2 linked regions of the Schizosaccharomyces pombe genome follow. The protein of the gene in region 1 interacts with the protein of each later gene in a pairwise test. Each region holds a gene or a part of one and is shown on either strand. Other genes may lie near its edges.

Region 1 (8,976 bases):
TAGAATCGTCTTAAAATTAAACTCATTAGCGAGAGATCGCATTTGAGTTTGTAAATAAAAACAGGTTGAGTAAAGGGGGTATCCGTCAAAAGAGGATAAATTTCGTTCTTCTTCTACTTTGAATATTATTTTAGTTTCTTTTTTAAAAGCCATGAATTCAAGTGACTGAAGCATCTATCCTCGATCAAATTTAACATACACAGCTAGTTCACACAATCTTTCCTCACCACCATACCTGCTATATTTTTTCTTTCAACAACCAACTCCATGTCGCGTTTTTCAATAGAAGGGAAGTCTTTGAAATTAGATGCAATTACAACTGAAGACGAGAAGTCTGTATTTGCTGTTCTGTTAGAAGATGATTCTGTAAAGGAAATTGTATTGTCTGGTAACACAATTGGAACCGAAGCTGCTAGATGGTTGTCAGAGAATATTGCCTCAAAAAAAGATTTAGAAATTGCAGAGTTTAGTGATATCTTTACTGGACGTGTCAAAGATGAAATTCCTGAGGCTTTACGTCTGTTGCTACAAGCTTTACTCAAGTGCCCAAAACTACATACTGTAAGATTGAGCGATAATGCCTTTGGCCCTACTGCACAGGAGCCCTTGATTGACTTTCTTTCAAAACACACACCTTTGGAGCATCTTTACCTACACAATAATGGACTCGGTCCTCAAGCTGGCGCAAAAATTGCTCGTGCCTTGCAAGAGCTGGCGGTCAACAAGAAAGCTAAAAATGCACCTCCCTTGCGTTCCATTATTTGTGGAAGAAATCGTTTAGAAAATGGGAGTATGAAAGAATGGGCTAAAACTTTCCAGAGCCACCGTTTGCTACATACAGTGAAAATGGTGCAAAATGGTATCCGTCCCGAAGGTATTGAACACTTATTGCTTGAAGGATTAGCATATTGCCAAGAGCTAAAGGTACTCGATCTTCAAGATAACACATTTACGCACTTGGGCTCTAGCGCTCTCGCTATCGCGTTGAAAAGCTGGCCCAACCTTCGAGAACTAGGCCTCAACGATTGTCTCTTATCTGCTCGCGGTGCTGCCGCAGTTGTAGATGCTTTTTCTAAATTAGAAAATATTGGGCTTCAAACGTTACGCTTACAGTATAACGAGATAGAGCTGGATGCTGTCCGGACCCTAAAAACTGTGATTGATGAGAAAATGCCGGATCTTTTATTCCTTGAATTAAATGGAAACAGATTTTCGGAAGAAGACGATGTTGTTGATGAAATACGTGAAGTCTTTAGCACCCGTGGTCGTGGTGAACTAGATGAGCTTGATGATATGGAGGAACTTACCGACGAGGAGGAGGAGGATGAAGAAGAAGAAGCTGAGTCTCAAAGCCCTGAGCCGGAGACTTCTGAAGAAGAAAAAGAAGACAAAGAACTTGCTGATGAGCTATCAAAAGCTCATATTTAGAGCAACTACTTTCCCTCTCGAACCCTGCTCCGCTGTTTCCGAAATTTTTTAACATATTTCTATTGTTCATGCTAGGCGGTAATGAACGATTGTGGTCAACGGATGGTCTATATCGACCATTCGATTTCCTTCTGCATTTTTATCAACATTCTGTCTTTTTACGCGGCAGGACCGATAAATAGTATTAGATTAAATCTGTATATGACAGAAAAAAAATTCCCCTTTCAAAAATGGCGAAAAGGTTCTTTACGTTTTATTAATAACCCACTTTAATTAAGTATTGGGTCAATATAATATGGTTTGGATTGTATCTGTGTAAAGTTGTTTTGTTGTTATGTCGTAAAGCCTGAACTATTTTTTCAGTATGTCTGTAAACCTCGAGATAAATTTTCTGTAAGTCGCAGTTAACTTTTAAGAATGTGGGGATTCCATTACTTGAGCTTGGTGTTTCCAAATATGATTGTACTACTGCAAGGACGAATTAGAAGCTTCACCTAGCATAGTACATACTCTACGTCCAACGCCATCTATTAATGTCAAATCCACCAACTCGGCCAACTTTGTATAATTTGGTGAATGCTGATGGTGAATTGTCTTACAGAGCTCGTGATTTAGTACAGGATTTTTCTGTTCCAATTCCACATGAACTGCCGGATCCTGTAAGTTCACAGCTTCTGCCAATACTTGTTTAACTAATCTTTTTATGTTTAGGATTTAGTTCATAGCATCCAGGATTTTGCAACAGAATACATGCTTGCGACAGGGAAAAAGTCATTCGAGTGTTTGGATGAAAGTGCTTTATTGGGGTTGGGATATTTGGTGACTGAATGGATGGATGCTATGGTTACTGATTGTTTGGAAGAATTTGAAGAAAGATGAATTATCCTTGTACATTTTACTTTTCATTCGTTTGTTTCGAGATGACTCCGTTACATTTGTATGACTAACTTTGATGATTTTTCTATATGGCGTAAAGTTGTTAAACAGCTATGAATGCGTATTTGTGTATTGAAATTTTTATCTTTTGATAATTGTTTAAAATCAACATTACAGATGTAATTACATTGCTTGACATGTATGCAGGCTGCTGAAAAGCGAGAAGCAACGATGCTGTTAAGATTTTAACAAGCTTTGCGATACATTAGCAAACATATTAGGACTTCAACTATTTTTTTTTTGCAAAGCCTTTACTATTAAATCCGAATACTGTTACCAGTGAATCGTAAAGACAATCACTTCAACTACCCAAAGCATAATCCAATATACATTTTATTACTTGGTATTTATACACGCTATCTAATGATTACACTTCAAAGGGGTCGAATTAAATACGTAGTCCATGCGTATTTATTAAAATGCAAAATTAAGAAATGCCAATTAGGTTGTTTCATATCGATGAATGAAACGAATGACAAGTGACATCTAAGAAGAGATCATACTTTAAAAAGTAGTCCATATTATTTTAAACAGAAGTGAAAAAACGAGTGTTAACTTTTCAAGCAATTTCTTGCTGAGACAATGGTGGGGGTGCTTTAGCTTTCCAAAATGCGGAAATCCATGTCCATATGACAGCAACGAAAATAAAGGCAAACAACAAAAAGAAAGTAATAAATGCAACAATTTCTCTATAAGAGGGTTCCAATACAGGTTGGGTAGGGGGTAGGACTGTAGGAATCGGTATATGAGACGTTGATGTAGGTGTAGCTGTGGCAGATACGGTGTAAGAAGTAAATGAAGTAGACGTAGGGCTCAACAAGGTACTTGAGTTAGTCAGATCGCTATTTGGTTCAGAGTATATTCCCAAGACCATCTCCTTTGGAAGCTCAAGAGTGTCATAAGGGAGTGGTGCAGTATTAGAAGGGTTTTCAGATTCTCCCCACAAAGCCAACTGCCAATTTTCAAACGTACCTTCATGCTTTCCACCACTTCGATCATTAACCAGTAACTTCCAAACCCCCTCTGGAGGTTCGGCCCAATGCTGCACAGTCATGAACGTCCAGTCTAAAAACCCCTTACTATTCTCATCATACGGTCGTTCACTGGCAAGGATTGAACGAATGCCGGAAGGGCTTTCCAAGAGAATCTCCAATGCTCCTCTTCGGTTAAAAGGTATACACACCCTAACAGTGACATGTTCTAATCTTTTGAAGTTGCTTTTCTCAATCATATCCTTAGTAACGGTAAATTCGCTTACCATTTCAGTTATTGTCTCATTGTTAACACTCCCGAATGATTTATTAACATTAATTTCTGGAGCAATGAGCCAGGTTTGTGGATTCACGACCTGCCAATCCTTAGCCACCTCGACGAACTTCGATGCATCCAATTTACCAAACCCAAAATGATGGGAGAACTGGAATCCTGCTGGAGTCTTTTGCCATTCTGCATTTTGAGAAGGGCTATCAAAAGGAGATGCTGAATACACTGTAATATGCTGAATGTCTCTCCAACTAAGGTCAGGACGAATCGAAAGCGCCAAAGCATATACAGCAGATGCTAACGGAGCAGCCGCTGAGGTACCACCATGACTTCTAGTACATGTGCCTTCAGGATTTGTAGTTAATATAGACAAATGTGAGCCACTACTATATGCTGAAACTAATTGCGCAGCACACACCTCACTGTAAAATGGGATTTTATGTTCAGCATCAACAGCACCAATGGTAGCACTGAATATGCTATTCGTGTAGCCATCAAAATTGCAATTATCATGATAATGGCCTCCATTTCCAGAAGCGAACACAAAAATCGACCCAAGACCATTTCGGCCATTAAGGACACCGTTCATCAACGCACGACGAGTAGCCGTATTAGGAGCATCCATTGCTCTTCCATCATCTGCAGGGCCCCAGGAACATGAATATATATGATTTGTTTGAAAGCCATAATTCAGTGCTTCCGATTCAACAGCATCAGTAATAGGGGCCGAAAGAATACGAAGTCCAGCGACCTTGGCGCGTGGAGCTATGCCTACGCCACAAACGTCGTTCCAAGCTGCAGCCACTTCTCCAGCACAACGGGTGCCGTGCTGATCATCTGATAACTTTGGCAAAGGGTCAGCAATGTTATCATTGAAGTCCCAAGAACCAAGCGAAGTGTAAGCAGCTTGCAAATCTGGATGTTTAAAATCAATTCCATCGTCTACAAATGCAACGGTAACATTCTCACCGAAGTAACCGGCGTCCCAGACTTCACGTAGATTCAGATCGTGTCCAGGATTATTCGAGTTGAATATGTGCCATTGGCCATAAAAGAGAGGATCCGAAATTCCAAAATGATTAGAGAACTCATTCAGTAATTCATCAGATTCACTCGCATCCCGCTTGTAGCGCCATCTGGGCGTCTGGCGCTCCAATTCCAAGATTCCGGCATCAATGCCTCGTTTTCGAATTGAACTTTGGACTGAATCATCGCTCCCCTTATGTAGCTTAATTAAATGGTGATACTTCAAATTTAATAAAGGGCGCACATACTTAGCACCAATGGCTTCTGCTGCTACTACAGGATCAACTTCAGGTTCCACTTGAACTAGAAATAAATCATCGTTTTCTAATGGAGAGCAAGAAGAAACCAAAAACTGTAAAAATATTGCAAGAATTGGCCCACATAGCAAAGCAGGATGCATGGTGCTGGGACGGTGTATGCACTAGGTGGCTTAACAGATTATGGTGTCCACTGTACCATAGTGGTGGCTATGTACAATAAAACAGCCATTCGACTAAAACACATATAAAGTGTAAAGCTGTCAGTATTTAAACTTTTCCAATTAAGAAATACATGGCAAAAGTGAGCAATTGCTAAACCGTGTGTCTACTATAATACCATGTTATATATTACATTTCATCAATACAGAAAAATAGAGCATCTACTTGTTAATCATGAAATAACTTTAAGCATTTAATAGTAAAAAAAATATAAACGACGATGAAAACATTAAAAGTATGAAATTTAGAAACCATCTTCATCCTGGTCTTAGTAATATTACAAGTTTTCATGATTAAGTGTAAGATTTGAAAACAAAGGGTTAATTTATAATTAAAACAACTGTAGTCTGGATAAAGAAGGAATATAGTTAAAATGTAAAACCATGTGCCAGGTTGACTATTTAATTAGTTATGTGCATTTATTAGCTAGGCATGAACTTGATCCAAAAAAAAAAAATGAAAGTTGAGAATACGGATGAGATAGTATACTTTCGGAAGAAAATACTTTTATGGAATACTAGTACGAGACACTTGTCAAATTGTAAGCATGTTGACAAAATCAAGCTTTTGGTCTCTCCAATCGTATGTTTCTAGTCTGAGCAGGAATTCGTACACGGATGCCATCCAAATCTTTTCTTAAGAGTACTTGGCATCCCAATCTGCTTGTTTCCTCAAGACCAAATGCTAAATCAAGCATGTCTTCTTCATCTTCTTCCGGGGGATCCAAAAGTTCGTAATGCTCTGGATCTACGATAACATGGCAAGTCGAACATGCAACAGACCCTTCACAAGCGCCTTCTAAATCGATATTGTTAGCATGAGCGAGATCTAAAATACTATCACCTTCATTTCCCTCAATCATGATTTCACGTCCTTCAGGCGTGACGAAAAAAACTTTGATTCCAGTGCCCGGCAAAGGCTTTTTAATTTCGGAATGGAATGATGGGCGGAATGTATGGAATTGGCGTTGTTGAGTCAAAATGGAAGATGAAATGCTACTTTTGGGAGGAGAAGAGATTAATTTTGTCCATGAGCGGATGTTTTTTAAAGCGTATTCTGGATGCAAGCGCTGAGCAAGTGATAAGGCCGCGGTTAATGTAACAAGACTACCGGCTTGATGAAGGGCTGCCAAAGGTACAGGGACAACATAGATTAGAGTCATAATACCCAAAGTAGCTTGAGCAGTTACAACGCCTGTAACAACGTTAATGCTAGTTTTAATCTTCTTAGGCAAAATGTTTCTTTTAGCACGGGAAAAAATAAAAAGACCACATGCAGCAACAAAAGTAGTAATAGCTAAGATACGGTGTTCGAGTTGAACAAGACTTGGGTTGTCAATCATGTTTCTCCATATAAGATCGGACTTGTCGTCTTTCCTACAAAACCTTTGATCAAATAACTCGCTTTTAGATGGAGCAAGTCTTCCTTCGCCCATTTCCGGGAAAGTACAATAAATCATTCCGGCATCCAATCCAGCAACAAAGGCACCGGACAAAAGGGTGATCAGTACCAAGCCAACAAATGAGTTAACACTAGTACGAAATCCTTTCATTTTCTGAACTGAAGAAACCATTGAAGTCAATTGAGATGTGGAGCCACTCTTCATAGATTTCAAAAAGGCATGTCGTTGAAGGATTCCATGCCCAGTCCACACCAAGCCAATATAGAGAGCAACGGCAGCGGCTAAATGAGTAGCCAAGCGATAATGACTAACACGCGGATGAGAACCATCACTGAAGAGCTCTTCTGAAAGACCACTCTTGACCATCCACCAACCGATGACTCCTTGAAGTCCAACGAGTCCCGTAAGGCCGATTAGTCGCTTGCTTAGCCAAGGAGATGCCCTTTTAGTCACAATCATGTATATGGAAGGAAGAAGGATTGTCAAGCCGATTCCTCTACCGAGGACACGATGAAACCACTCCCAGAAAAATATGTTTTTAAACTCATCCACTGTCATATGGCTGTTCAGCTTCTCAAACTCTGGTGATTTTTTGTAAAGCTCAAATTCTTGGTTCCATTGTTCATCAGTAAGAGGAGGAATTACGCCAGTGATGGGCTTCCATTCAGTAATACTTAACCCGGATTCAGTTAGTCTAGTAATGCCACCTACAACAACAATTGCAAGAACAAGAGCAGAAGATCCAAGCAGCCAAAAGGCGACCTTTTTACTCGGAATTTTTTCGGTTTCCTGTAGGATGCCACCTGGTGTAGGAGCGACTGAGTTACTCAGCCGGCGAGCAAAAAACTTTTCAAATGAATTTTTATTAAACTTACAATCATTCAAAAATAAATTCTTAGTCCGTGACAAATTAATTTCATTTAAAACACTCGATCCAGAGAAGCTCCTGCTCATTCTCCAACTTGACCTTCCAAGGCAAGAAATGTCGCAGCCTTTCCGTAAGGGCTGAAGCAGGAACTGTCTCATCAGACCTGATGAACGTGAAATGTTCATTGGTAATTGTTTACTTTTGTTTGCGTTTCGCTTAAAAAAGTAGGTTCATGGAGAGAGAGGAATGGTACCTAACCTCCCGGTTCTATACCACAATAATCTAACGGCGCACTTTCAGAGTCGCTATAAGTAGACAAGCTATATTAACGTAGGCCGTTTGATATATACAAGATCTGAGTGGATCGTCGATGAATAGTTTAATTTGATGCGACAATTCGCTGAAATCTGCACGTAGCATATTTGAATCGATGTTTATATTTATGATACTTAATACTCAAAATGTACTAGCTTCATTTGCGTATCCAAAAAGTTATTTAATCTAGTACATGTCGCATACGGAAATAGCTGACATCTTAAATAGTTAGTTCTTATAATCTTACGAACCGAAACTTCTATATGACAAACATAAATCATTTAACTGCTATAAATTAATATTATTATATTGTACAATGTTCTAAACGTGCAAATTAGGAACAGAAAAATGCAACGACTGAGGGTTCGTTGCTCTGAATCAAAAGAAACTAAAAAAAAAAAAAGGAACTAGAGTTTTCGCCCAAACACTTAGTCATTAAATATTTACAAACGAAGAAGAAAAGAATGCAGAAGCAGGTGACAGTAAAATATGCTCCGAGTACCAATCATCATAATAAAAAAATGAAATGAAAATACATATGAAGGTAAAAAGATGCAGTCATCGTACCAACTTTAGAATCGTGAAAACTTGTTCGTATACCATATCCAATAAAAAAAATCATCCACACATTTATATGGTTTCAAGATTTACAACATCTTCTAGAATTTTTATCGCGTAAATGAAGGGTTAGAAACTGTAGCAGCAGGAACGGTGTGAGGCCTAGCTGTATCGCCATGTGCTTGATTATCCTTCGACTGTTGATGCAGAATGTTTTGTTGACGTCGTTGTCGATACTCAGAAAGAGATAGCTTCTTCGGTGCTGAGGTAGGAAGAGCAGAGGCTGAAGTGTTACTAGGCTTGACTACACTTCCTTGGACCAGATTCGAATTGGGCTTGTTTTCGCTTCTTGAAGTATTTAACGCATTCGAGATATCATCACCGTTGTTGGCTTTGTGGTCCAAAATGTTTGGATTGTTCGTAGGAAATTGGTTGTTTACCAAAGCATGGCGACTCGTTATAACTGGTGCTGGAGCTGTCGGCAAAGGAGGCGTAGTTACAGGAGATTTATCAAACGAAAACCCGACAGGACTAACCGAAGGTGAATGGGATCGAGTGCCATTCTGTCTAGAAAAGTTAACGTCAGAAGACCTTTGAGTGTCGTGAACATGCGATTTATCTTTTACAGTCCTTAACGTATTAAAAAACATGGACCCACTCTTTTCTTTACTCGACGGCTCGAGTTTCAATTTTGAATCTGA
Region 2 (5,625 bases), on another chromosome or scaffold:
TTAAGATACTTTTTATGGCGAAGATAAATTTATTCCTGTATACAGCAGAAAGATCATTGGAAGAATGTAAACTTAAACAAAAATTACCTGTTAGCTAATTATTTATTCTAAGGCTATAATAGATTTCAACCAATATAGATATTATGTGCCTGCCGTTAAACGTTTATATACAACTGCTGTGACCAAAAACGATTATTATGTATTATATAACAACCAGTATTTTTAACAAGCAATATTTACAGACATTAGCAACCTGAGTAATAATAGAGAGCACTCAAATCAGCAATACAAGCAAACACTTGTTGCTAATTAATCATTTCCTATAACTTTAATGTTCGGAACAAGGAAATACACAATTAATGAAATTATCAAGCAAACTCAATTAGCAACTTTGGCGGTAGGGGGAGTGGTAATGGAAGAAGACATCGAGCTTTTGCGACGTTTCTTTTTTTCCCTTTTCGCTGATGGCGGATTGGGGCTAGAAACGATTTTGTCAGGAGAGGGTTGAGGTTGAGAAACTGGTTCAACATTGCTTGTAGGTACTGTTGAACGGGTGTGCTTTCGCTTCGGTTTCTTAGCATGCTGTTCTTTAATGTCAGGAGTGGCTCTAGAAGCTTGAGCCAATGGTCTGGTTTCTGAAAAGTCTATCAAATCTTTTTTAGTGGGAGAGGATAAGTCTTCTGAAGGTTTAGTAGAAGTTTCCTCAGCCGTAACTCGACTATCAGCAACTGACGCATTTTCTTTAGAAGCATTATAAGCAGCCATTTCTTCTTCGTAGGCTTCTCGAAGTTTAGAAGCTTCTTCTTCGTAAGTTTTCCGATCATCTTCAGATAGCGAGCCCCACTTTTCATGCATCGCTTTATTCACCTCTTTAACATCGTTACTCTTCTCGCCCAAAGACTCCTTGATTTCCGATCGTTGGTTCTTCTGAAAGAGATTATAGGCTGATGGAGGGCGCTTTGGTTGTGCAGGATCCCTAGCCTTGCGCTTGTTTGGGGTCATGGAGGCTACAGCTTCCGACGTATCGACTGCGGAGGTTGCCTCAACAGGAGCTACTGCTGCAGGAGTAGCTTTCTTAGGTGAAGTTGCTTTTTTAGAAGGAGACTCAATTGCCATATTAATCTCTTTCTTCGCATTTGATGGATCAGTGACGGCTGGCTTAAAAGGTTTCGAAACCTCGGACTTCTCTCCTAATATCGAAGGAAGTGATTCTTCGATCTCACGGCATGCGGTTAAAGCTAACTGAAAAGCTTCCGCCAACCTTGTGAAAGAACCAGAAATCTAAGACGGCAATTTGTTAGATAAAAACCAAAAACCAAGCGGATAACTAAAGAAAATTTTGCATTTAATCATCAAACTTTTCAACCAATTAAAAAAGATTATTTTTAGTAAATACTTGATTTAAATCAATTTTTTGAATCATAAAACATTATGTTGGTTCAAAACACCAAAACTCTTTAAAATATCACATACCTTTTCCAGTTGGGTTGAGTTTTGAGCCATCGTACTACTTAAAAAATATTCAAAGTTTCTAATACAACTAAAGCTTCAATACGATGGCAAATACAGGAAATGGTGGCTGACCTACCGGGGTGATGGCGGGAATTTAAATCTTAGCGGTTATGACGGTGGGTGGTTGGTTAATGCTGGAAATGCGAAGCAGATGAAATTGCTTCAGTTAAACCCACCAGTTCGGTTGAGCTTTCTTCACATTTTATTATTATTACAGTTTATAGTTATTTAATATATGTGACAATTGTTATTGTTGAAATTACGATGGTTCAGTGAGATATTTCTTCATGTGATTCTGTTGAGTGATATAATGAAAATTACAAAAGACAATTGTAGTAAATTAAATATATAATAGGAAAATATGAGAAAATCTACAACCGAGAAAAATTTTTTTTTTTTTTTTTTTTTTTTTTCTTTTTCTAATCTCAATCCACTAAATTTGCTGAGACTTACAGTCAAATAATGTCCCATAAATGGAAAGAATAGCAATAAAAACATCCAAAATTTAAAAAAAAAAAATGATAAAACATTTTCTTGTAAATATTTACCTCTTAATTAAGTATAAACAAATCCTATTCCATTGACTCGTAGATCTATTTCATGATATCTTGTGAAGCTGCAACTCTGTTTATCTAGTTCTTGCGCTAGACCAATTGGTTTAGAAACTATTAAATTTAAGATAAATTTAATTTTAAACAAACCAAAGATCACTTATAGTGTTCAAAATACTTCGCAAAGCATATTGCTTTTGCGATGGATTCACTATGAATAAAATATATTGCTGTTTAATTTGGTTTGAGATATCATATTCGTAGCAATTCAACGCTGTTCTTGATTAATATTTCTGAGCACCGTTATAACAATGTAACAAGTGGTATACTAGACTTCGCTAAAAGTACGCCATCATCGAAATCCGGTATAAAAAATCACCACCTCAGTAATGAATTTTTTCGGGGGAGAGAGACATATGTAAATGTTGTATTGTTCACGATTTAAATTTTTTTGGGATGTCCTCCGAACAACAAAATGAAGCTGATTCGAAACCCGCGGTGATTCCTCAATGTTTTAAAATTGAAAATCAATACGAGACCTTTTCCCGTCTGAGTGAAACGTCAACTCCTGGTGTTGTACCGTCTGTGTCGACATTATGGCGGCTTCTGTTTGAGCTGCAAAAAATGATTGAGTGTGAACCGTCTTGTGTAGAATATTTTCGCCAGCGCAAAGAAGAGTTAGAGTCTCATGTCGATTCTGAAATAGAAACCTCAAAAGACGAATCGTCGGTTAATAAAGTGGAAGAAAAAGTAGAAGAATTTAAAGAAGACAACGTTGAACAAGAAATAAAGCAAAAGCGTTCTCTTTCCGAAAGTCCACAAGAGTCTATGCTAGAAAAAGTTTCCAAGAAGCCCAAAGTTTCAGAGGCCCATAATGAAGAAATCAGTCCCGAAAATGTGGAAACAATTGAGAATGAATTAGATTTACCGGTTAAGGGTAAAGATGAACAGACAACTGGGTTGGTATATAAAAACGCAAACGATCTTCTAACCGGTTCATTACTATCTTTCATTGTTGACGATTCCTTCTCTTATGAACAAAAAAAGAAGCTTTTATGTGTAGATTCCTTTCCAACCAGTGATGTACGATCGTTGGTGGCAGGAACTCCGGCGACTGATGATTTTTCTCACAACAAGCCAAATAACCAGATTTCAATATCAACCTTTTATTCGTCACTTGACCCATATTTTCGTGCTTTCAATGATGATGATATTGCTTTTTTAAAAAAAGGATTTGACGTTTCGTCTTCCTATAATATTCCTCCTTTGGGGGAACGCTATTACGATTTAACTCCGGAAGATGAAATGACCAACCTGTGTGCTAACTCAATTTACCAAAACCTGCAAACCTCTGCTCAAGGATCCCTTGAAGCTTTTAATGAGGCAGATACCGTCTCTGAGGAAGTTAGGTGTGGTCCACTCACTGAACGACTAATGGCTTCATTAATTCCTTGCTACACGCAGAATGATGAGGAGCAAAAACCTTCTATTGCTGTTGGCGAATTTGCGGAAACCGATTCTGGATCCGAGAAAAGCAAAATTGGTACAAGCATTGATGGAATCGAGTCAGGAAATAATGAATATACAGAACAACCGGATATACAAGAGTCGAGTCTTTCAATTTGTGAGGACCGCCTTCGTTACACCCTAAAACAACTAGGTATACTTTATGATGGCGATGTAGATTGGTCAAAGCGACAGGATGATGAAATTTCAGCTACCTTAAGGAGTTTGAATGCTCGTTTGAAGGTAGTTTCTGATGAAAACGAAAAAATGAGGAATGCGCTGTTACAGATGCTTCCTGAGGAAATGGCATTTCAAGAATTCCAAAATGTGATGGATGATCTAGATAAACAAATCGAACAAGCGTATGTCAAACGTAACAGAAGTTTGAAGGTTAAAAAGAAACGTATTGTTACTGATAAAATTGGCTCTTCAGCTACGAGCGGCTCTTTTCCTGTCATCAAATCATTGATGGACAAGCGCTCAATGTGGTTAGAAAAGCTTCAACCTTTATTTCAGGATAAGCTTACGCAACACCTTGGTTCGCCAACTTCTATTTTTAATGATTTATCGGACCACACTACATCTAATTACAGTACATCTGTATGAAGCGTTTAAAATTTGAAAGTGTATATACTGTAATTCTATCATTGTGATCTAATTTAATTGCTTGCTTTAGTGAATAAAATTTGCATGAAATAATAATAATACTTTTAACCGTAGAATAGATTGATGTGCTCACTAAAATATGATAGGAAGATTACTTAAATGCACTTATAAACATGATTCATGAAGAAAACAAAAAGGCCAAAAAGAAGAATGATTGATAGATAAAATACGTCCATCACTTTTTGAAGCAAAACACCTAAAGTAAAATTTTAAATCCATTCAAACTCACCATTCGCCTTGAAAAATAAGTAATCTTTTCCATTAACGCCAACTACGCCATCTCTGAACACACATTTCCATTTATTTTTGTGGTGGTTCACTTTGTCATAAAGACAAAGAACGATAGCCTGTCCAATATCAGAACCTTCTTCAGTTTCGGGAGCCTCATCTGAATCAGGATCGTCTAAATCTGAGTTAATTGCTTCGTCAGAAGGCGTATCAACAGGTGGCTTTTTTTCATCTTCGTTATCTTCTATAGTGCCGTCAATTTGCAAAATGCGATTCTTTTTCAAAACTTCATAAATTTCAGCATCAGCTTTCTGTGCAATAGCAAATCTATTACTTTCAAAATTAGAAGGGCTCCCAGCATCATCTAGATCATGAATAGCACCATCGGTTTGAGGCACGTCATTACGAGAATTAGCAGGGGTGGTATTAGAAGACTCTGTCTCTCCTAATTCAGACTTTTTCGGAGAGTTTTGATTGGGAAGTAACAATCCGCCAAATGAGTTAGTAGATGAAGAGTCGGGAGCATGTTCTTGGCCCGTAGAAGTTACATTTGCAGTCGAATGGTCGTTGATAATCGGTGAGTCAGCAGTTTGATTAGTGGGCAGTTGCAATGAGTTAGAGCTGTAAGAAGGGAAGGGGGCAGTATTATTAGGGTTGGACTGTACGTTAGGTATTGCAGAGCTGTCAAACGAAATATTTGTTGCTGACTGGGGGAGAGAGGGAGTAGGTGGAGAATAATAATTTGAATTACCATGTTGCTGCGCAAATGTATCCATCTGCTGAACAGCACGAATAGCGGCTATATTATTAAGTATGGGAGAGTTTGCAACAGCTGGAGCAGTAACATCTAATGAATCTGTCCTCAAGCCGCTAACTGGATCAAACAATTGACCAATGGGAAATGTGCCAACAGGAGCTTGTGCCCAAGGAAAAGTTGCAACATCGGTAGCAACTAACTTGCTTTGCCATAACTGTTTTATTAGAAAAAGACCTAAACTTCATAAAACCGTACATTTTGTAATTCTCGTAAAGTTGCATCATCAACACCATTTTCTTCAAAATCGCTCCGTGAATTAGCAATCACGTCTAATATCACGTGGTGATAGACCTCACCCTTGATAAAAACATTAGAATAACACTTAAAACAATACTAACTTACGAC

The links. Proteins that work in one complex are often made in the same cells at the same time.
Region 2: the proteins of krp1 (region 1) and ngg1 interact in a two-hybrid assay, tested with the Schizosaccharomyces pombe proteins (one study listed by BioGRID).

Annotation. Positions count from the first base shown.
Region 1 is NC_003424.3:5,031,517-5,040,492, forward strand, and holds krp1 (kexin), read right to left. Parts: upstream 5,065-8,976; 5' UTR 5,054-5,064; coding exon 2,924-5,053; 3' UTR 2,671-2,923; downstream 1-2,670. Other genes in the region: RanGAP Rna1, read left to right, coding at 268-1,428; RNA polymerase I upstream activation factor complex subunit Rrn10, read left to right, coding at 1,962-2,087, 2,140-2,307; etp1 (monooxygenase-ferredoxin fusion protein), read right to left, coding at 5,692-5,930, 5,976-7,587; putative histone H3 lysine methyltransferase Set3, read right to left, coding at 8,386-8,976. UniProt on the Schizosaccharomyces pombe protein: Membrane-bound, subtilisin-like serine protease that processes the P-factor precursor and other precursor proteins. Essential for cell viability. Cleaves substrate on the C-terminal side of dibasic residues.
Region 2 is NC_003423.3:1,585,237-1,590,861, reverse strand, and holds ngg1 (SAGA complex subunit Ngg1/Ada3), read left to right. Parts: upstream 1-2,463; 5' UTR 2,464-2,519; coding exon 2,520-4,175; 3' UTR 4,176-4,270; downstream 4,271-5,625. Other genes in the region: upstream binding transcription factor, RNA polymerase I specific, Hmo1, read right to left, coding at 379-1,281, 1,474-1,503; transcription factor TFIIA complex large subunit Toa1, read right to left, coding at 4,445-5,434, 5,476-5,577, 5,623-5,625. UniProt on the Schizosaccharomyces pombe protein: Component of the transcription coactivator SAGA complex. SAGA acts as a general cofactor required for essentially all RNA polymerase II transcription. At the promoters, SAGA is required for transcription pre-initiation complex (PIC) recruitment.